Ovis aries: one gene and its partners. The protein of the gene in region 1 interacts with the protein of each later gene in a biochemical or structural test. Links are inferred from orthologs where the notes say so. Each region holds a gene or a part of one and is shown in the gene's direction. Other genes may lie near its edges.

Evidence for each region.
Region 2: the proteins of SMURF2 (region 1) and RNF11 form a complex in vitro, tested with the Homo sapiens proteins (3 studies listed by BioGRID and IntAct, with this or other methods). The link is inferred for Ovis aries from reciprocal best matches to the Homo sapiens genes SMURF2 and RNF11.
Region 3: the proteins of SMURF2 (region 1) and SMAD3 form a complex in vitro, tested with the Homo sapiens proteins (2 studies listed by BioGRID and IntAct, with this or other methods). The link is inferred for Ovis aries from reciprocal best matches to the Homo sapiens genes SMURF2 and SMAD3.
Region 4: the proteins of SMURF2 (region 1) and SMAD2 form a complex in vitro, tested with the Homo sapiens proteins (3 studies listed by BioGRID and IntAct, with this or other methods). The link is inferred for Ovis aries from reciprocal best matches to the Homo sapiens genes SMURF2 and SMAD2.
Region 5: the proteins of SMURF2 (region 1) and SMAD1 form a complex in vitro, tested with the Homo sapiens proteins (2 studies listed by BioGRID and IntAct, with this or other methods). The link is inferred for Ovis aries from reciprocal best matches to the Homo sapiens genes SMURF2 and SMAD1.

What each region holds. Positions count from the first base shown.
Region 1 is NC_056064.1:48,569,855-48,574,843, reverse strand, and holds the start of SMURF2 (E3 ubiquitin-protein ligase SMURF2), read left to right. Parts: upstream 1-1,956; 5' UTR 1,957-2,426; coding exon 2,427-2,478; intron 2,479-4,989. UniProt on the Homo sapiens protein: E3 ubiquitin-protein ligase which accepts ubiquitin from an E2 ubiquitin-conjugating enzyme in the form of a thioester and then directly transfers the ubiquitin to targeted substrates.
Region 2 is NC_056054.1:25,719,767-25,723,974, forward strand, and holds part of RNF11 (RING finger protein 11), read left to right. Parts: intron 1-1,128; coding exon 1,129-1,300; 3' UTR 1,301-4,208. UniProt on the Homo sapiens protein: Essential component of a ubiquitin-editing protein complex, comprising also TNFAIP3, ITCH and TAX1BP1, that ensures the transient nature of inflammatory signaling pathways. Promotes the association of TNFAIP3 to RIPK1 after TNF stimulation.
Region 3 is NC_056060.1:13,982,542-13,986,749, forward strand, and holds part of SMAD3 (mothers against decapentaplegic homolog 3), read left to right. Parts: intron 1-895; coding exon 896-1,108; intron 1,109-2,135; exon of another isoform or gene 2,136-3,212; coding exon 3,213-3,405; exon of another isoform or gene 3,406-4,208. UniProt on the Homo sapiens protein: Receptor-regulated SMAD (R-SMAD) that is an intracellular signal transducer and transcriptional modulator activated by TGF-beta (transforming growth factor) and activin type 1 receptor kinases.
Region 4 is NC_056076.1:47,829,170-47,833,377, reverse strand, and holds part of SMAD2 (mothers against decapentaplegic homolog 2), read left to right. Parts: intron 1-583; coding exon 584-707; 3' UTR 708-4,208. UniProt on the Homo sapiens protein: Receptor-regulated SMAD (R-SMAD) that is an intracellular signal transducer and transcriptional modulator activated by TGF-beta (transforming growth factor) and activin type 1 receptor kinases.
Region 5 is NC_056070.1:12,847,156-12,851,363, reverse strand, and holds part of SMAD1 (mothers against decapentaplegic homolog 1), read left to right. Parts: exon of another isoform or gene 1-1,886; intron 1,887-2,139; 5' UTR 2,140-2,317; coding exon 2,318-2,717; intron 2,718-4,208. UniProt on the Homo sapiens protein: Transcriptional modulator that plays a role in various cellular processes, including embryonic development, cell differentiation, and tissue homeostasis.

The sequences.
Region 1 (4,989 bases):
CTGAAATAAAATCTAGTGAAAGTTTAGCTCTCCTCAATAGTATGGTTTTAAGGTATTATCCGAATCTTTTTAAAAAAAAAAACAACAGAAAGATTTAAACTTATATGCAGGCAAGCCTAAACAGAATCCTTCTCTGCATATTAAGCGTGTGTGCATTTTTTTCCTGAACTGTCACTTGCACATTTGAATGTACTGCTTTAAACTTCACAACAGGCAATCTCCACAGCTCCTCCATTGTTTTCTGAGATCTTAACTTCTGTTAACTGATACAAAACTGCAAACTGTGTTAGTAGGTGGTTGGGAACAATGTGTGCCATTAGAATAAGGCAAATGTGTATGTATACATCCGTTTGGTAAGTTTTATTGCCATTATTCGTCTAGTCTTTTAAACTGTAATGGCAACCATTGTTGAAATTGTTTAATGTATTTTCAGAGCTTGTGTATCACAAAGAAGAGTTACTGCACATAGCAGGCACTCAGCATTTGTGGAATGAATTTCTAGCACTGTCTCCTGAATTTCTAGTCCGACTTCCGGAACTTTACATAATTTTTGCATCAGTTTAATTTGTAGGACTGTATCCAGATTGATGAGCTTCCTTATGGGCTTCCCTTGTGGCTCAGGTGATAAAGAATCAGCCTGCAATCTGGGAGACTTGGGTTTGATCCCTGGGTTGGGAAGATGCCCTGGAGAAGGGAACAGATACCCACTCCAGTATTCTGGCCTGGAGAATTCCATGGTCTGCATAGTCCATGGGATTGCAGAGTGGGACAGGACTGAGAGACTTTCACTTCACTTCACTTCACCCAGATTGATGAGAAGTTCTTGGAGGTAACTTGATCTGGAGAATTAAATGACATTATTGATGAATTAAAAGAGACAAATGACACAGGATTAAAATATATCAGATTTTATTAAACATTTAAAATTGCAATAGTAGTAGCCTTAAGCAAAACAGCACACACAAAAAATCCTCCATGTACACTTTTGCATGCATAGATACCACTTTTTATTCTGCTTTTAAACTTTGATTATTTATAAACTCTTCCATATTATACGATCTTCGTAATTGCCACTTAAATGGGGGCATTAAAACCTATGCGGTTGATGTAATGAAATTCGCCATTAGACTGTCAGCTCGTCTCCCTTTTGTTATTAACCGAATTTTGCAAGAACATCTTTTGTACTATTATATCAAGAATAAATTCCTGAGTGCAATTACAGGGTCAAAGGGTAAGGTACATTTATTTTTATTTCATTTTCTATTTTTTTCCTCCTGAGATAACAAAATACAGCCCTGTACGAAGAGCTTTCATACATTGCTCTCAAAGGCTTATCTTGTTAATTATCCTTTAAGGCATTATCATCCGCCTATCCCTGCGCTACAGTTGAAAAAAAGAGCCCAAGCAGGCTGGTAACCTGATCTCGTTCACCAGGTGAGTCCTGGATGGAGGTGGAAACTACGCTACCAGGAGCAAAATACCCTTAGGGATTTGCCGGAACCCTCGGTGTGGGAAGAGCCTCTCCTGCCTCACTCCAGCCGAGGCTCAATCCGGACCGCAGCAGGTTCGGTTCTAACCGCTGGCCCCTGCCTCTCAGAGAAGCGCCCTGCACGCGGTGGGCGTCTAATAAAGGCAGCCTGTATTTCGCGGACAAAAGCTCTCCCTTAAGCGGGTTGAACTCCAGGCCCTCCTGGCACCACAGAGGTCGGCGCCGCCACCCAGATCCTTTGCCCGCTCCTTCCTCAAGTTCTGCGTGGGACAGCAGGGCTCACCAGCCCGGACCGCCGCGCCCAGGCCGAAGCCAGGCCTGACGCCTCCGCCCCCCCTCGGTGCTCCGCGCGCTGCCGCCCAGGCCCCGCCCCCGGCCCCTCCCCGCCTCGTCGGCCCCGCCCCCGTCTCCACCCCGCCCCCCGGAGCCGCTGAGTGGCGGCGGCGGCCCCAGGACCGGGTTTCCTCAGACAAGAGGGCGGGTGGAGGAGGAAGCGGCCGAGCCCAGAATCCTGCTCCGGCGCCGCCGAGCACCGCCCGCCACAACCGCCCGGCCCCGTCGGCTCCTGGGCCTCACCGAGCCGAGAAGAGGGAACGGCAGAGGAGGCTGCGTGGAGGCGGCGGGGGCGCGGGCGGAGGCGGCGCGGCCGGCCGCGGCTGCCGCTTTGTTGTGCGGCCCGGGCCAAGGAAAGAGAAGTGGGAGGAGGGGGGAGCTCGGCGTCCCGCTCCCTCCGCGGCTCATGGCGACGACGCTCGGCACATCCGGGACCCTCCGGCCGTGGCGGCCGCGGCGCCGGCTGCTCGGGCCCCAGCCCCGGCCGCTGTGGTGACTGCGCCGCGCCTCACCGTCGCCCCCGCCCCGCCCGCCGCCCGCCGGCCCCGGGCCCCGGGCCCCGCGCCGCGGCCGCAGCCCCGCCGCCGCCCCCGCCGCCGGGGACATGTCTAACCCCGGGGGCCGGAGGAACGGGCCCGTCAAGCTGCGCCTGACAGGTGAGGGGGTTGGGCGGGCGGCGGGAGCCAGGCCGGGGCGGCGGCGGGGTGGGCGAGCCGGCGGGGGGTGCCTGTGGCCTTGAGAAGGGCCAGGGTCGCGATCAATGGTGAGTGGGAGGTCGGGGACGTGGGAAGGCCTAGTTCAGGGAGAGTAACTGCAAAACCAGTCTCCCTCGTTGGGAGATTCTTAGAAAAGCCAAGGGTGACTCGGGGGTCTTTTGTTGTTGTTGTTGGGGGGGGGGTCCCCCCGTTGGAATTCCAGGCGGATTTGAGGTCGAAAAGCCTTGGCCGAGAAGCACGACTCTCTCCCGGGGCGTCGGGGAGCAGCCCTTGGGCTGCTGCCCAGGTGGGGTCGTGGAGGGGATGAGGAGCTCCTGTGGCGGGGATTATTGAATCCGGCTGCTGACTGCGCGCAGTAAACACTCCTTAAAGATGGAGCGCTTAACGGGAGGGTGTGTGTGTGTGTTCCCCGGTTGTTAACTTGTTCGCCCACTTATGCCCGCGTGCAAAACCTTCCCTCTCGGCTGCCAGGCGCAGCCGTCGGTTCCACACACCTGAAACGCACGACTTTATAGGGAAGGAGACCGAGGTTGACTTTTCCGGTGTGTCTGCCTGATCCGACGACTCGCGCTCATTGTACCCTCTGTGTTTTGGAAGTGTTTGATTGTAGGGTAGTATGTTTGGGGTTGTTCCTTGTAGGCCGCAGAACTTGTGTCTCGCTTCTAACTCTAGACCTGCTTTAAAAACACACTTTTTTTGAGTCCCTTTCTAAGTTTGTGCTCAAACGGACTTTGAAGCAGAGTTTTTCTCTCTCTCCCCACTCTCCTCCCCTTCCTTTTTCTAAATGGAAAAGAATGTCTGGAGGGGTTGCTGGATAGCAGGCTTTTCTTACGAAGTGTTTATGATCCCAGGTGTGTTAGATCTTTAGTGTTACAAGTACATTTTTGATCTTACATGGTCGTTTTACCCCATTTTAGGGAAAAATTATTTGGAGTTTGAAACGTGTAAATGAAACCATTGTAATTCTGGCTTCATTATTCGCTATTAATAAATTATGCAGGTTGATATTCGGATATGTGGCGAGAAAGATGACTTTCCTTAGAGAATGTGTGTGTGTGTGTGGGTGCGTGTGTAAGAATAAACTGTAATTATGTTTGTCTCCACTAGACTTTGAGATTTATATGGACTAATTTTGTAATTGAATGCTTGTCTGTTACATCCCAGTCCACTGGCTGAACTTTCGAGATAAAAACTTGCAGTGAATTAGGTATTCGAGAATTTAGCCTGACTGTATGTTGGCAGCAATTTTTAAAATATATTACTTTCATGACAGTTTTACTTTCTCTAGAGAATATTGCAAAGAATCATTAACTGAGTGGTTCTTAATGGAAAACCTGGATTGGGGGATGCCTGTCTCCCCTACTTCCCCCCATTCAGTTTCCTTATTTTCTTAATCAATGGAAACCTTTGTAAGGGACCTTTGTCGTAGAGTTTATCTACTGCTGTTCCTCTGTGGAGTCAGTCTTGTGTCAGTGATCATGGAAAGAACCTGTGATTCCAGGTGTGCAAAAGGCATCAGAAATAGCCTGGTGGCCACTTAATTCCTTCTAGGTTATATACACGATGAGAGCATGAGGGAGAAAACAGGGCTCTTGACTTTTTGCAGATAAAATGAGTTTGAGGTTTTTAATGTGATTCAGAAGATCTTGAAGTGTTTATCTGTGGTTTTCTTCCTACATATGATACATTATAAAAATTCATGAGTAAAGTTAGGAGAAAAGATTACACTTATTTTTGAAGGGATAGGGAATACTGGGCTAAATCTATAGAGTAATTTTGTATTTTTAGATTTTTCTGAGGAATTTTAAATACACTTTGTCCCCTTAATTGTAAAAACAGTTTTAGATACTCTCAGTTTCTTAAAACCATTGGGAATTTGTCTCTGTCATATTTTAAGAGAAAACTATTTAACTATTAAAAACTTCGCCTTCTTCCTTTTGGTTACGAATGGTAGAAGTCCCTTCTGTTTTGCCAGGAAGGTTAATATGTATTTTTTCATTTTTGTCCACTTACAAATTAGATGGTATAGATTTTAACAAATAGATTTTAAGAGCTGGATTCAATTAGCAGCTTTTTAGGACATAAACATTAAAGAGTTAGATGGAAAAGATTGTTTTGACTGACTGGATAAATGACAGGGCTGTGTTTGATGTGCGTCCAGGAATTGGTCTGGAGCTGGTGCCCAACTTTTCAGTCCATCTTGAGAAGCCAAATAAAATATTTAACCTAGGCCTCATTTTGTTTAAAAAAAAAAAAAAAAGGTTGATTCTTTGTTAAGACCTTAAGAAATGTTTGGCATACCTTTAGACTAAGTGTTTAACAGTTCATTTAGATCTGGGTTCCATAATAGAGGAAAATTACTTTTAAAAAATGGGAGGAGCAAATCCCATAGTGAATTTTTATTTGGATTACAGTATACTTGAACTGTCAGATGATGTAAAATAATTGTTC
Region 2 (4,208 bases), on another chromosome or scaffold:
TTCAGAGATTTGTTTTTTAAAAATATTCTGTTGCATTTTGAGAGTCAGATATTTAATGAATTCTGGGCAAAAATTTGTTTAGATGTAGAAATTAAGAATTTTCATATAAAAATAAATAAATGATGGTACAAATTCTGACCGTTTTATAGGTTGCCTGTGTCCATTTGGATGACAGTTAATGTCAGTTAAAAATTATTTAACTGTGTAATAAGTGTGAACTAGTACCAGCATTGCTGGTGGCCTAATCAATTGGTAAAGCCGTTTGGCAATATTTCACAGACCTTTAGATCTAAACCCTTTGAGACAGTTAATTCTAGAGATCTATCCTAGAATATGTACCTCACTTCAGCTCCCAGAGTTTTATGCGCAGAGATAGTTACCATAATTTTAGTTAGTGAAAAATAATAATAGAGGAATACTTTGGTAGGTTATATAGGGATTAAAATTGTTTGCTAAGGATTTTAGTGATATGAGGAAAACCTTATCCGTTTCTTAACTTATAGAATAATTGTACTAAGTCTGATGAGTTAAATATAAAATTTTACTTCAGGGAGATTTTTCCTTCAGAGTTCATTATTGTTTGAGAATCCCTGAGAACAACTATTTTCCTTGTAGGTTAAGAATGATCTTTACCAACAGACATAAAGTAATTTATTATGCTGTGCTTGGCTGTTTGAGCTGTAGCACCATTTAGGTTTAGTGGTTCTGTATTTACATGTAGTTATTAAATTGAAAGCTGTCTGGGCTTACACTGAAAACTCAGTTCAAATAAAATTAATCTAACATGGTTTCTTGTCTACTAAAGTTTCACATCCTCCTTAAGGTGTCTTCTGTAATATGTAGCTGTTTTACAAGCACAATTCTAGCAGTGAACTTGATTCCTATCTGATACGTTTCTCTTCGTTGATTGCTCTCAAACTCTTCAAATTCCCAGGTGATTGAAAAAAGAGATTGTAGCAGGATAATGCTAGGAAAAAATTCCGTCTGGATGCTTAGGTGATAGAATGACAGGAAGCCGTTTTTGTCTGTTCATATTAACATTGTCTTTGTAATGGGGATTTTAAAGAGTATTCTAGATAGATCACTTGTCTAAAAATGCTTTCTCATTTCTCTCCCTCACCCCAACAGGTGTGTGATCTGTATGATGGACTTTGTTTATGGGGACCCAATTCGATTTCTGCCGTGCATGCACATCTATCACCTGGACTGTATAGATGACTGGCTGATGAGATCCTTCACGTGCCCCTCCTGCATGGAGCCAGTTGATGCAGCACTGCTTTCGTCCTACGAGACTAATTGAGCCAGGGTCTCTCATCTGACTTCAAGTGAACCATCATTTTTGGTGGTTTTGATCTTTTGTCACTGAGCCCAAAGAGCCAGGGATTAGGAATTAAGATCATGCACAAAAGTTTCCTAAAATTTCCTGAATGGCTGCAGATGTTGGGGAAAAGTACGTGATATTTTAGAAACTAAGGGGGAAAAGTAGGATGGTATTTTTATGTAAAGCCTTGACCCAGTGTTTAAAAATATAATTGTATTTAGATCTTGTTATTGCTCCAGTACATAGGAATTGTGTAAAGTGTTACAGCAGCTGTATATGTTTCAATTGTGTGTGTCAAAGATTAGGAAAAAGATAGTGGTTGTTTTTTCCTAAATGAAATAACTTTCTTCTTCTCCCCCACCCAAATTCTTTTCTGAAGTTGCTGGCATTTGGGTCAAGGTTTTATTAAAAGCTACATTTTATAACACTGGCACAAAAAAAGTAGTTTTAAGCTTGTTTGCACAGTTCTTTTTTTCCATTGGAAATGGAATTCATTGCCTTAGGTCTTTTTTAAATAGTGTATTATTATCGTTGGGGCTGGCTCTATGCTTGAAAACCAGTTTATTTATAACCTGTTATAAGTGCTATATCTGTTTGCAGTTAGGAAATGCAGAATTCAAAGTGATCTCCTAGCTTGTAAGCAAACTGAGATGCACTATCCCTTTTCTATTAAAAATCAGTTAATGTGTCAAGAAACCAACTCTAGTAAAGTCAGGTTTAATATTAGCCTTTCTTATGTGTTTCATCTAATTATTTTGGTTGTTAATAGGTGATAATTATTTTGGTTGTTAATATGGTGATAATTAAAAGTCAAGGTAAATTTTAAATATTAGGAATTCTGATTTATTGAGCTCGAATTATGCCACCATGCTTATGTAAAAATGAAAGTGGCAACATGGTTAAACTGAGAAAGTTTCTCAGTTGTAACAATTTTGATTTTCTCTCTCCTGTGACCTTCTTCCCTGTTGTCTTGAACCATAGCAAAAGGATACTGCATCTCTTGTTGTATTGCTGAGGTTATTGAAGTTACACAAAACACATCTCAGTCTCTGTTTCTTAGAAGGAAAGTCCTGCTAGTTGACTGACAATTCTAAACAGGGAGAATTAAGATAAATGTGTTTAATTAATGTTTTGCACACAAATGCAGAATTTGTATAACCACATGACATCATAGTTGTGATCTCAAAAAAAAGACTTTCTCCTTTATCTTTTTCTTGCAGTTAAATGTAGGAATTCTCTGAAACTCTAAGCTTCTGAAGTGTTAGAGGTAGAGATGGTCTAGCAAAGATGTAGTTTGTAATGTTTTATCCATTTAGCATGTGTTTATTTTTTGTTATGTACTAGAAGATGACATATTTGTTTGGCTCAGTGATAATTACAACTAAAAAATCATTCATTAGCGAAAGGAGAAGCAATCTCAACCTTAACAAATCAGAAATGTTTCTTATTTTGTATTGAGTTGAATATTTGACTCTTTAACACTTTTCTACATACAAAACACAAGTCAAGTCTCTTGAAGGGTTCTTCATAATTGTATTAAGAAGAATTTAGTATGTCAGAAGCACTTAAAGATTTGACATTCAACTGTAGCAGTATCTATGTTGGTTAATTTTCTTATGAGCCCCATGATGAGTTTGAGAAAAATTGAAAGAAATTATAGATTATCAGGTTCTGTTAAATTGTTACATGTATCTTCCTTAAGTTTTTGTTCATTAATTTATATCCAATTACATAAAGCAAATTTGGAGGAAACACCTGAAGTTGTGCAATATTTTCAGCAATATTACTTTTTTATCTTTGTGTTTTCTACTTAAACATGATGTCTGTCATCAAGTATTATAGTCAGACTTTCTTTTTTTCTAGATTGTCAAAATTGGTAAATGAACATTTTTTTTAATCATCTTCTATGTTGCTATTAGTCTTTCTTTATTAACAAGGTTTCTTTTACAGAAGTTTGGCAGTAATATTGAGGGAACCAGGATTGAGCTGAATTTTTTTTTTAATAAGGTACTTTGTATTCTTTAATTTTGATCTCTACATACCATGTTAAGAACCATCAATTATGGCTTTTACCAAGTTAAATAAAGTTATAATACAGTTGTAAAGGGCTAAAGTTAGAATTGATTACATAAGAATCAGTTCTCCCAAGTTATCTAATCCTTCCTTCAGAACACACATGTACAAATTTAATTAATTGCCTTTAGTTTTCTAGGTATATATATAAACTTTGGGGGAAGTATTTTTTATGGCTTGGCTTTTACTATCATCTAATCATAAATTTAGAAGGTTGGTAGCTTCTATATTTTCTAAAGCAAATAATAGGCATATTACCCTGTTATCCGGCATAATTGGGATTGGGTAAGATGTGTTCAGGCTTGGCTGTAGGATTTGAAATGTCTGAAAAGCCTGACCAGGAAAAAAATAAAAGAATCTTATTCTTTTAAATGTAAACCATAGAAGAAATACTTTCAGATACTTGGAGTTTGGTTCACACAAACTTTTTAAATGCTCTGAGTGTTCTTTATAAGGCGTCTCTTAAAACAGGTATTGACTCTCCAAACTACTTTCAGTGTCTATATGACATAAAACAGAATATAGTGAGCATCAGGGTAACAAATTCTCTATGTGCAAACCTCCTCTTTAGGGAAGCATACATTTTTAAAAAGGATTAAGAATAAAGGAATACAAAGTAAAACTGCCTGTGGTCCTTAGACTGAAAATGGCAAACAGAAAAGGTAAGTTTTTTGGCATAATTCATAAATGTAGACAGTTGGTGGCCATGTTTGCTTACAAAGGCATTGGCTAGCAGATCAGTTTCTCAGAGTCAACTGAGGACACTTGACACTTGCATGTTAAGTGCATCATAGCTAATCAGCTAATTTTTTAA
Region 3 (4,208 bases), on another chromosome or scaffold:
AAGGAGAGACAGGCGGGAGGAGGGCACCTGGGCAGGTGTGGAGCCTGGAACGGCTGCAGGTGGCACGAGTCACAGGAAAGGCAGTGTGGGGTCACGTGAAGGGAAACCTATTTCCAGAGTGCCTACCGCTTCTGAGAACCACCCCCTCACAGGATGGCAGTTTGCTCTAAGGTGCCCTTGACTGAGACACAGGCTAGCAACTGGGATAAAATCAGTTTCTCTTAGGTGTGTGTGTCTCAGCCGCCCCGATGGATGGCACCTGGATACGTGTGGAGCATAGCTTCCGTAATCAATGGCAGGGACCCGGCTCACGCCGCAGACAGCACCTGGTGCCTGTGTGGTTGCAACTGCTGAACACGGATGGACACCCGGGGTCGCACCAGCCTCATCTTCTGGCCATTTCACAGGCCTGGACGCTACCGCGAGAAGGGCTAGGAGTTGGCCCATGATCAGGCAGAACCGGAAGCTGCAGGCCCTTTTAGGGGGCAGAGACCAGCACGGGTTACTATGGGGACCTTGAAAGAAAGGCAGGTGGCGGGACCAGACTGCCCTGGACACCCCTGGCCTGTCTGGTGCATCTGCCCAGGTGTCTGTTGGTCCCAGGGCCTTTCAGATTTGGCCTGGCACCTCCTTGAAGATGGCTTTGACCTAAGGCCAGGCGGGGCAGGGCCTTTATGAGCTCAAGCTAAACAGTGCCAAGGCCGGTGGAATGTGTCTCCCAAAACCTAAGGGTTCTGCCCCCCAGATCCTGCGAGTTTTGCACAGGAACAGGGTGGGAGATCATAATGCCTCTGAGAGGTGAGGAAACAGTCTTCCAGGGCATCCAGGGGACCCCACCCAGGAGCCCAGAGCCCCGAGGGACTCCCTGACCCAGCAGCCTGGCCTGTCTCCCCAGACCTGCAGCCTGTCACCTACTGTGAGCCGGCCTTCTGGTGCTCCATCTCCTACTACGAGCTCAACCAGCGCGTCGGGGAGACATTCCACGCCTCCCAGCCGTCCATGACGGTGGATGGCTTCACCGACCCCTCCAACTCGGAGCGCTTCTGCCTGGGGCTGCTCTCCAACGTCAACCGGAACGCGGCTGTGGAGCTGACGCGGAGGCATATCGGTAAGGGGCGGCCGCGATACCCCAGCCCACCCCAGCCCCCGCGGGGACCCACCGGCCGCCACTGTGCCGCGCCCCCCTCACCTGCCCCTCAGGCTCTGTCCCCTTGTTTAGGGTAAGACAGGTAGAATCCAGGTTGCAGCTGTGCCATTCTCTTAATAAAAATACCCTTAAAGTACGGAGCGCAGACCAGTAGATAGACTGTCTCGGAGGAGTGATCTTTCATTTGTTCATTTCATATATAGTTGTCCTAGGAACTTAGAAAAGGTGAAAAGACGGGAGGTATTGCCCACTCCAGGATTCTTGGGCTTCCCTTGTGGCTCAGCTGGTAAAGAATCCGCCTGCAATGCGGGAAACCTGGGTTCGATCCCTGGGTTGGGAAGATCCCCTGGAGAAGGGAAAGGCTACTCACTCCAGTATTCTGGCCTAGAGAATTCCATGGACTGTATAGTCCATGGGGTCGCAAAGAGTCGGACGCGACTGAGCAACTTTCCCTTTCTTTCACTTTCATTGCCTGCAGCTGGGACAGCACTGCTGCTAACACTGTATTCTGAGCCCCAGCCCGTGGTGAAAGATCACTTAGTATAGGGAAGGTGAAGCCTTGATGTGTGTCCCTCGGTTTGTTCATAAAATTATCATGCTGAGGATGTTCACAACTTTGCGATCCAGGGTCACCTGGAAGGGTTGTAGAGATGGTGTAGAGAGGGTGGGTATTCTCAGACATTGTTCAGTGCATCCACGGTGGCCGAGGGGCTCTAGAGCAAACTCAAGAGCTGAGCAGGGCAGCAGGGGTCCGGGCCCATGTGAACCAGAGCACCTCTGCTCTTGCTTGTATCGTGGGCCTTCACAGAAGACCTCGTGTAGAGAGAGGGTTTTCCAGGTAAGAGTTGGAAAGCCATGGGCCTGCAGCAGTGGGATCACTTTCCAGGGAGGGGCAGAGGGCACACAGCAAGCGTGTGACACAGAGACCTCCGCCCCAAGCCCGTACCCTTCCCAGACAGCCTCCCACTTGTTTTAAAAAGACCTGCAGTGGTATACACAGAGGTTTGTTTATTCACTTCATACTTCTCTGTATCTAAAAATAGTATTTTAAAAGTTACCCAAACAAACATTTTTGTTCTTTGGATCTTGTCTTCCCACCTCCACCTCTGCCTCTGCCTCCTGCTCTTGACTGACGTAATACTGGGCACCCCCTCCCCGGGTCTGCCGGCACCCTGGGGTCTTCGAGACGCCAAGTCCTGTAGCACCGAGCCAGGCAGAGCAGGGGAGTGGGGGCAGGGGACAGCCGTGGGACGAGGTGGCAGGCCTGTAGCCGATCACCTGCTTTCCATCCCACTCCACGTCGAGTGAAATCTGGCTCCATTTCCCGGCCCTCAGGGCCTCTCCCCGCCTGGAGTGGGAACAGAGGCCTTCCAGGCAGAAGAGTACATCCCCTGGCCGAGGATTGCTGAGGATTGTTGGAGGGTTTATGTAACCGCTTGAATTGCAGGGCCAGTTTAAAAATAATTTCTGTCCATCTGGAGTGGATTTAAGAGATGAAGGAACACGAAATGATGTAGACCTATGGAATGATTTAGAAAAACGCATCGAGAGGAGAAAGGTACAGGGGGTGGCGTTAATTAAGCCATGCCTGCAGTGAAGGGCTCCTGGGGTGTCTGCTGCCTGAGCAGCTCTGCAGGTTGACTACATGAGTTTCCAACTACATGAATGTTGGAAGGGGAAGGGACCTAATAGTAGCAGCAACAGCTACTGCTCACCAGGCACCCGTGAGGTAGGTATTATCATCATCTCCATCTTGCAGATGAAGAAACTGAGGCTGAGTAACTGGCTGGGGCCTGTGGCAGATCACTGGTGGAGGCTACCATTAAGACTTACCTGTGCTCTTTCCTCTCATTGTCTGCCTCCCTAGTTTAGCAGCCCAGCATCACCCAGCACCTCCTGGTGGGATTAGGCCTGGACTCAGGTCCCGTTTGCCTGGTGATGCTACTGGAGAACCAGCCACCTGGAACACTGACTGCAGCTCTGCCTCCTGTGGTTGCTGCGGCGGGCGCCAGGACCACTGTGTGGGGGCCAGAGAGCTGGTCCAGGCTAACCTGACTCTCTCTAGGGCGGGGCGTGCGGCTGTACTACATCGGAGGGGAGGTCTTCGCAGAATGCCTCAGTGACAGCGCCATCTTTGTGCAGTCTCCCAACTGTAACCAGCGCTATGGCTGGCACCCAGCCACCGTCTGCAAGATTCCACCAGGTACCACCACCTACACACCCACCCCTTCCCTGTGGACCTCTCCTCTGCGGCGCATGCCTGGGATGCCGGAAAGCTTTCTTCTTCCTTCTCTCCTCATTGGTGTTTGCACTGACAATCTGGAGATGCTTCACTTGAGTTTTCTCTGTGCCTTGCTGTCTTACCGTGACCTCCTGGAACCTCCGCAGAACAGATGCAGCATCTGACAGGTCTACCTTTGATCTGTGGGTACCTGTTTCCTGCCTGTGTGCACAGATGCTGAGGTAGTATGCTTGTTTGCGTCTTTCTTCCCTTCCTCCTTCCTTCCTACAGCCATGCTGGAAGCTGCAGGGGGATGGGAGGGTACAGGAAGCCCTGCTGCTGCCCTCTCAGTGTACCCATCAGCTGAGTGTACAAGGCAAAGACTCAAATGTGCTTAATACAAGGGAGGGTGGTGCTAAGCACAAAGCAAGCAGCACAGGTCACATGCTGTGGGACCCAGGGGGAGAAGCATTTACCTGTTAGGATGGTTCAGAGGCGGCTTCATGGAGGGTAAGGCATTTGAGCTTGCAAGGAGCCATGGGCCTGCACCAGTGTGGAAGGGGTAGGCACAGGGTGATGGGGGCAGGGGCTGAGGGCATTCCAGGCAGAGGGGATGATATGGGCAAAGGCCTGGGGGTGAAGGAGGGCAAGGCACGTGTGGACTGCACTCTGGCTGTGCTGGAGGCTGTTTAAGACAGTTGGGGATATGTTTAGAAAATAGGATGGGACTGGGCCATGGAAGGACACGAGATCACGTTTACTCAAGGGGACTGTTGAGGGTTTTCTGAGTAGGACTACGTACTCCACGGGGTGGAGGACTCACCTGGCTCACCTCAGAGG
Region 4 (4,208 bases), on another chromosome or scaffold:
CTTACTGACTTACTGTATATAATAAATAACTAAAATCTGTATGGGGAAGTGACAGGATGTTCTTGAACAGTTTGTGATTTTTATAGGATAGCTTGTTTAGTTGAAGTACTAGAGGTATTTCTTACTAAAAACCTGCATGATTTTGCTAAAAGGGATGTTGGTTGGTTGTTTTGTCAGGGGACATTGAACCCCAGCTTTGAACATTCTGTGGTAAGCTTGGGTCAGAATTTTTGTTTTGATATACTTTAAGTCTGAACTCTGTTCCATTTGGACTTCATTTTCTATTTGAGTATTTTCTATTCTTCGGATGATTAATAAGTAAAGTGACTATATATATTCTGATTTGCTTGGGACAGTGCTGGTTTATGTCTCTTGCCCTGGCAGTGATTATTTATAGCATTATAAGTACTTTGTTAGACTTAAAGGATTAAACAGTTTTCAAAATAATAGATGTCCAAACTTAATACTCGTTCAAAAAGGAATCTAGGTTTTCGTATATACAACCTATTGATTTATCTTAGTTCTTCCATATCCCTGTTATTCTTTTGGTTTCGTAATTATTTTCTTTCATTCTTTTAAACAGAAGGCAGACGGTAACAAGCACTCCTTGCTGGATTGAACTTCATCTGAATGGACCTCTACAGTGGTTGGACAAAGTATTAACTCAGATGGGATCCCCTTCAGTGCGTTGCTCAAGCATGTCATAAAGCTTCATCACCAATCAAGTCCCATCAAAAGACTTAATGTACCAACTCTTCTGTCATAGTATTTGTGTGTGGTCCCCGTGGACTGTTTACTATCCAAAAATTCAAGAGAAAACAGCACTTGAGGTCTCATCAATTAAAGCACCTTGTGGAATTGGTTTCCTATGTTCGAATATTAGATGGGAAAATTAATGTCTAGAAATACTCTCCCGTAAAGGAGGAAGAGAAGATTTTAAAGACTTTCTGATGTCTTGTTGGGCATAAAACTGAGTGTCCCAAAGGTTTATTAATAACAGTAGTAGTTATGTGTACAGGTAATGTATCATGATCCAGTATCACAGTATTGTGCTGTTTATATACATTTTTAGTTTGCATAAATTAGGTGTGTGTGTGCTGCTTCTTGATTTAGGCAAGCCTTTATAAAGTTACAGTACCTAATCTGTTATTCCCACTTTTTTGTTATTTTTGTGTGTCTTTTTTAATATATAATATATATCAAGATTTTCAAATTATCATTTAGAAGCAGATTTCCCTTGTAGAAAAACTAATTTTTCTGCCTTTTACCAAAAATAAACTCTTGGGGGAAGAAAAGTGGATTAACTTTTGAAATCCTTGACCTTAATGTGTTCAGTGGGTCTTAAATATTCATTCTTTCTGTGTTTGTTTACTTACTGCTAAATCTCATTATAAGGAAACTTTATGGAAATCTTTCTAAACCTCTCCTCCATTTCTACTTTTCCATCAAAACAGTGTAGCATGACATCCATCACCATCAATGGTTGTACTGATACTGCCAGCACCAGTTAATTCTCGGTACAATGATAATTCATATGGAGTAAGTCCCTTTTGTCTTACACCAAATTTCAGTTTCAACAGTTAATAAGAGGCTTGTATAACCTGGCAGTCTTTTGATTTATCTTTACACCTCATAAAAAGTGCACAGGTGGCAGTATAATTATTTTCAGGGATATACTGCAATTATTTCAATATATTTATCCTTTCTGAAAATTCAGTCTAAAAATATAAACCCCCTTTTTAAAAGATACTTTCAAATATTTCAGTAGCAAACCTCTTTTGAGTTGAATTTCATTGGATTTAATTACCAGATTGTGTTATGAAGTGGACCTTTTGTAAATGTAATTGCTTCTGCAGAATACCTAGAAAAGCAGTGCTGAGGTCTGATCAGCAGATAGGGGCCATCTGCTTTTAAGGTATGTTGTATTAAATTTATAGAATCTGTGTTATTTTACGTAATTGTGAATTCTGAATTGTAAAATTTGGGGGAGAAGGCGTTTAGCAAGTTTTTTATCTTATGGATACCTGTGGTCTGAGCTGTTCTTAACTAATCCTGAATATGTGGTGACGGTTAGAAGCCTCCATACTTCATGCTCTGCAGGGACAGGCGTGACCAGAGGTGTCAAAAGCTCTGTTGGAAGTCATTCTACAGCAGATAATCCTTATTTTACTTAGTTTATTAACTCATTCCAGTTTAAACTTTTCTTGTTTGCATCTCAGTAGAAACAGCCAGTAACCACTCCTGGTCCCTTTCTAGTAAGTTTTCATATTTTTAAAGACAGATTATCTTTGGTTGGTACTTGTGTTTTATAACCATATTCACCTGTATGTACAGGGGATGTTTTCAGTACTTTCCACACACGATTGTCTTCTGTCGGATGTTCCCCGTTTTCCTGTGTTTGTGTAGGCATGTATATGTTCATGTGAACGTGGTAGAGTGAGTTTTCGTTCTACAGATATTTATTGTTCACCTGTTACATGTGCCAGGAACTTTCTTAGCCTTTGGGTAAAGGTGAACAAGACAGCTATGGCCCTTGCCTTTGCCAAGATAGCAGTTACTCTAACACTTAATTAGCATATTTGTCTATGAAGGAGATAAACAGGGTACTGTGATAGAGCAAAGCAGAGGGAAAGCTTCTGTAAAGTAGTGATGATTGAGCTAACACATGAGAAAGGAGCAAGCCATGTGGAGAGCCCGGGAAAAATAGGCATTCTTGGCAAAGAAAATGGCATCAAATGCAAAGGCATATTTTAAAGGAAACTCATCATTTATTAGGTGTTTATGCTTTATACAAAAACCTCTTCACAGATCCAAACTTGAGGATCAGATTGGTTCTACAATTTATAATAGTTGAAGGTGGCCTTATTTTATAATGGACTGCTTCATGTGTCATTCTTGTTAGTATTTCCTCTTCCTCAAGTCCTTACTATAAAAAGTTTGCGCCAGGTCACTGCCATTTAATGGAGCAACCCTTTCTTTAATTCTGCCTTGGGCAGATTTTCACGACTGTAGCAGCTGGCTGCCTGCTTCCAGGCGTCCTGCTGCCCACTGATTACTACTTGTACAGCCCGCCTTGTGGATGGTATAAAAGTCCCAGGTATCACCACCGTCAGACCTGTTGAAAGTGTGGAGGCCCTGTCCTTTGTACTTGAGAAGTCGTGTGATGTTAGGGAATACTGCTCCTTATCTGGGGTCAAAGAACAACTCAAAATGGTAGAAAGTCCTGGCTGGTACTCTTGCATTGATAGGTTAAGCAAAGCAGTACCGTCTATAGCGTTTCAGTAATGGGTCACATCTCTGCAGTTATGGTGGGATTCTTACACACAGTATGAAGCTGGGACTCAGCTCTTTGGAAGCACCTATTGTATTCAGTAGTTAGGCCAGTCAAGCAGTTGACTCGGTGGTGGTGGTGGTGGTGGTGGTGGTAGTGGTGGTTACATTTGTATGAATATGTTCAGTGGTCTTAATTTGCTTTTTAATGAGATGCTGGTTTTACTTTTTGTTTTGTCCACTGTGGCCTAATTTTTGCTGATTTTTTTTTTTTTTCCCCTTTACAGGGTTTGTTTTCATTTTTCTAATTGATACAATCTCCTCTTTGTAGAATTTTTTCTTTATTTAAATTAGCATCATTTAGAATTTCTTCTACACAGTGCTGGTAATGTCCTCAGTTTAACAACATGAGAACTGAAGGATCATGCCTTCTATCACATTTTCAAAATAAATGGTGGTTTTCACACTGGATTACATACATCTTAGGGCTGGTTTAGGGAATTGGAGGCTAGTTTATTCCCACTGGCTTCGGCCTGGCTGGCCAGTGGCAGCTTCATTTTTATTCTGTATTGGAGTTCTACATAGATTTCTTTTTTTAAAAGTTTCACTGCTTAAAAAAAGGTTGACTTTCCTGACTGGGTTTGAACTACACCATACTAACTAAGTGTAATTGCACGTTATGATATACCTTCATTCAATGAACACTTACTGATGCCTGTTCTTTACCCAGCCAGTGTGATAGATGTTGAGTGGTAAGATGACTGGGATTTGGTACTGACTCTTAGTCTTGTGGGATTACTTTCTCCCACAGGACCTGTCACTTTGTCAGAAGAAGACCTGCCTAATTTTTCTTGAAACCTAAATATTCTTGTTCTGTATTCTTATTCTGTATTCTGAGTATATACTTGCAAGTTGTTAATATCTTAAGGTTTTTTTTA
Region 5 (4,208 bases), on another chromosome or scaffold:
ATTTTAATTCTGTCTTTTAAACACCGCAAGATATTCCTGTAATTGTTTGGTAAAGTCAGTACCCTTATGGAACTCTTCATTTTTTCCTACAGTTTCTTGCTTTTCCCTTGTGCTTGAGAATTCCTCCTGGAAGCCAGTTATTTCAGATTTTGTTTGTTGTAAAGCACTTTTATTTCGCAGTCATTTTTGAATAACTTCTTTCCCTCTGAGTATCGCGTTCTGAGTTACCAGCTATCTGCTACATTTGGCAGGCTCAAGATACCATTTTACTGTGGTTTTGTTCTCATTGTTCCTGTTGAAATGTCAGCTGTCATTCTTATTGCACTCATTTGAAAGTATTGTGTCTTTTTAAAGATTTTTGTGGTAGGTTTTCAGCAATTATACCATGATATGACACATGAAAACCTGTGGATTTCTATGTCTCCTTCTTGGGATTTGTAGGGCTTCATGAATCTGTGGCTAGATGTCTGTTGCCAGTTTTGGAAAGTCTTTGGCCAGTAACTTTCAATATACCAAATCCTCTCTCACAGTTTTTCTCTCCTTCTTTCCTTTCATCTTGATCTAGTCTAGTATTAAGATGATTCTAGGCTGTTTCTAAACACTATCCATTTCAGTTTAGCCCTTGCACTAGGGCATACCTCTTCAGGGGTCTCAGCGGAAAACCTGGTATGTTTACCAGAATTTCTCCTTGGCAGGCCCTCAACTCTGTTTTTTTTTTTTTTTTGGATGGGGGGACTCTCCTCAACACTGTGAGACTCCTGAAATCTCTGCTTGGTCCTTTAGCTTCTTTCTACTTGGCTTCTTACAATGTAGCTTTGGCAAATGCCTTGAGAAGAAAAGCAATGAAGAATGTTTAGCTTATCACTTCATCACTTTTCACATCTTTCCAGATGTGGCCCCTCATGTCCTGAGTACTTTGATTACTTATTGATGCCTTTAAAAAGTTGGGCTTCCCCCCCGCCCCGCACCTTGATTTATTCATTTGTATTTTATTCAACTTTTATAGTTGTTTGGGGAGGAGGTTGATTGGATACCTGCTATGCAATCTTAGCTGGAGTTGGTGCAAAGTTATCATCTTTCATCTTTTTCACCATTTGCATTTTTATCTAGTGAAGAGTAACTGGAAGGTTTAAATGAAACAGCTTGACTAAAGTATTTGGTACAGTATGGGTTCATGCATTTGATTCGTTTCACGTCAATAAAAAGCATATTTGAAGAAGCAGAGAATGAATTTCCTACCTTAATTCCCTAATAGTCCAAAGGCATAGACTTATTTACTGAATAAAGACCCTAAAATGTTGCTACATTTATCTAGTATAAATATAACTAACTACCTTTTCTTTTAGCATGAGATACTTGAGCAAACCAAAAACAGATGTTAAGACTGTTGTAGTTCTGTTGCTTTTAGTTTTTGTTGATTGAGGTATATTTTGAAATAAATATTTTAGAGCCCATGAGTGACTATAAATATAAAATATCACAGTATCTGTTGAGAACTTGAACTTTTTTTGCTTCTACCTCATAACTCGTATAAAGAGTAGCATACTTCGTTTTAAATTGCATCTCAGTTTATTCATCTATAAAATTGCAATGATTGTATTACCTAGTTGAAATAATTATTTAAAGGGTTAAATACTGTGCTGGTCTGCTGCCATAACAAAATACCACTGATGGAGTGGCTTAAATAAAATGCATTTCTTACAGTTCTGGAGTCTGTGAAGTCCAAGATGAAGGGTCCAACCAGTGTGGTTTCTGGTGAGAGCTATCTTCCAGGCTTGTAGGCAGCAGCCTTCTTTCTGTTTCTGCAGGTGGCCTTTCCTCAGTGGGTGCACACATAGGGCAGGAGAGAAATCTCTCCCTTCTTATGAGGCCACTAATCCTCTCAGGTTAGGACCCCACCCTCATGACCACATTTGACCTTAATTACTTCCTTAAAGGCTCCAGGTTCCACCTCCAAATAGAGTCGCACTGAGGCTTCAATATGAGTTTGGTGGTGGGTGGGTGCATAGTCCATTCCATAGCACACTGTAATACATAAAAGCGCTTAAAATAGTACCTGGCCCATGGTAATTGTTTAATAAATTGTGATTTTGTGGTGGAGATGATTTTAAACATCTTTTCCCCTTTTTTCTTTTCTAGGTGCTCGCTTTGGGTTCCTTTTGGAAACACCAGGAATGGTCATTTCTACTTTTCAGGACCTCCGCACGAAGCAGCTAAGGAGAATCTTATGTAGATAAAGTGAAGCCTCTCTCACTGTCCTTCCGCGTTTGGGGACGTCTGTATTTCTCCCTCCACAAGGAGTGTGCGCAGCACCATCATGAACGTGACAAGTTTGTTTTCCTTCACAAGTCCAGCTGTGAAGAGACTTCTTGGCTGGAAACAGGGTGACGAGGAAGAAAAATGGGCAGAGAAGGCCGTTGATGCTTTGGTGAAAAAACTGAAGAAAAAGAAGGGTGCCATGGAGGAACTGGAAAAGGCCTTGAGCTGCCCGGGCCAGCCCAGTAACTGCGTCACCATTCCCCGCTCCCTGGACGGCAGACTGCAGGTCTCCCACCGGAAGGGGCTGCCTCACGTCATCTACTGCCGCGTGTGGCGCTGGCCCGACCTTCAGAGCCACCACGAACTGAAGCCGTTGGAATGCTGCGAGTTTCCCTTCGGCTCCAAGCAGAAGGAGGTGTGCATCAACCCCTACCACTATAAGCGAGTAGAAAGCCCCGGTGAGTGAGTCCGTTCCTGTAGAGGCATTGAGCAGATCTGTGTTGCTTCTCGAAATCATCCCTTTCCATGTGTTTTTTGTTGTTGTAATTTCTAAGAATTAGGGGAAAAGTCATGTCTGTCAGTCCTTGAAAGGGTCATCCGTTCTAACAGCATAGTCTCTAGTTAACTTTATGTCTTGGGAGCAGGGCTGTGAAAACTGTCATGGAGGCATTAATACATCTACCTTTCCATAAATTGGTTTTTTTGCTAAATTTATTCTTTATGTTTCCCTTTGGTTCTGTGCATTTCTCAAGACAGAGGTAGCTATGATTTTATTGCAAGGGAAGAAAATCAGGAAAGAAGCATGATGTTGCTGTCTACATACTTGAGGGTGGTTGCCAGTGACTTATATCACTTTATCCTTAAAAATAGCGCTTTTTATCATCTCCAGTAGAATTTTGTGATGGCATACTCCGTGTGGAGGATATGAAGGAATTATGTTCTGCTGTGGAATCATCTGATACTATTACTTTATATGAGATACTCCTAGTTTTTACATGTGTGACCTTGAAGGGGGTGGAGGAAGCATAATAAAGGTTTAACATTTACTAGGTTTTGACTTTAATTAGACCCACATTCTAGACAGTGGCATCAGTTGGAAAGTGATTAGGCAATCTCAGGCACTTAAATATCTCAGTGTCAGATTGGAATCAAATTTGTTGATGGATTAGTTATTAATAGCTGATGGTTACCAGGTGTTCCCAAATGAGGCTGTGTGTTAGATTCATGTGGCTCTCTCCCAGAAATTCTTATTCTGGCAGAGCCCAGTGATCCATGTTTTTGTTTTTTGGTTTTTGGTCCATGTGTCACATGTACTCCAGATAGTGTTGATAGGGGCTATTGGGTTGGTGTTTGGGAACTATGCTATATCCCATACTAACCTGACTGTCAAATGAAAAGCATTCTGGTTTCTTATGGAATATTTATGACATTTCAAAAGGGAATAATAAGCATCTTTGTATCCACCACCCAGTTGCCTTCAGTAACTACTGTTCCGAATTTGATGGTTAGATTTGATGGACATCATTCCCAGGCATGCTTTTTACTGTTGTTTTGTATGTATGAATCCTTGACAGTATGTACTGGTATTTTGAATAGTTAAAGGTATTGTATAGTGATATTAGAGTATCCTTCTATAGCTTGCTGCATTCATTCAACATCATGGTTTTGTGAGTTCTGTATTACACACTTCAGGGTTACGTTGTCAAGGCCTGTGAAAAATCCTCAGGAGGTTTCATTTGAATTTCACCGATTTCATGTGGGGAAGGATTGACATAGTTGTGCTCTTGAGCATAATATTTTTCTAAATTTATTTAGGTTTTTAGGTTTTCTCCTTGAAAGTTCTTGCACATCTTTTCTTAGGTTTATCAGTATTTCTAGATAACCAGGTTTTATTGTATCCTTTTAAAAGTTACATTTTGTTACAGTTGTTCATGGCTAGAACTGTACTT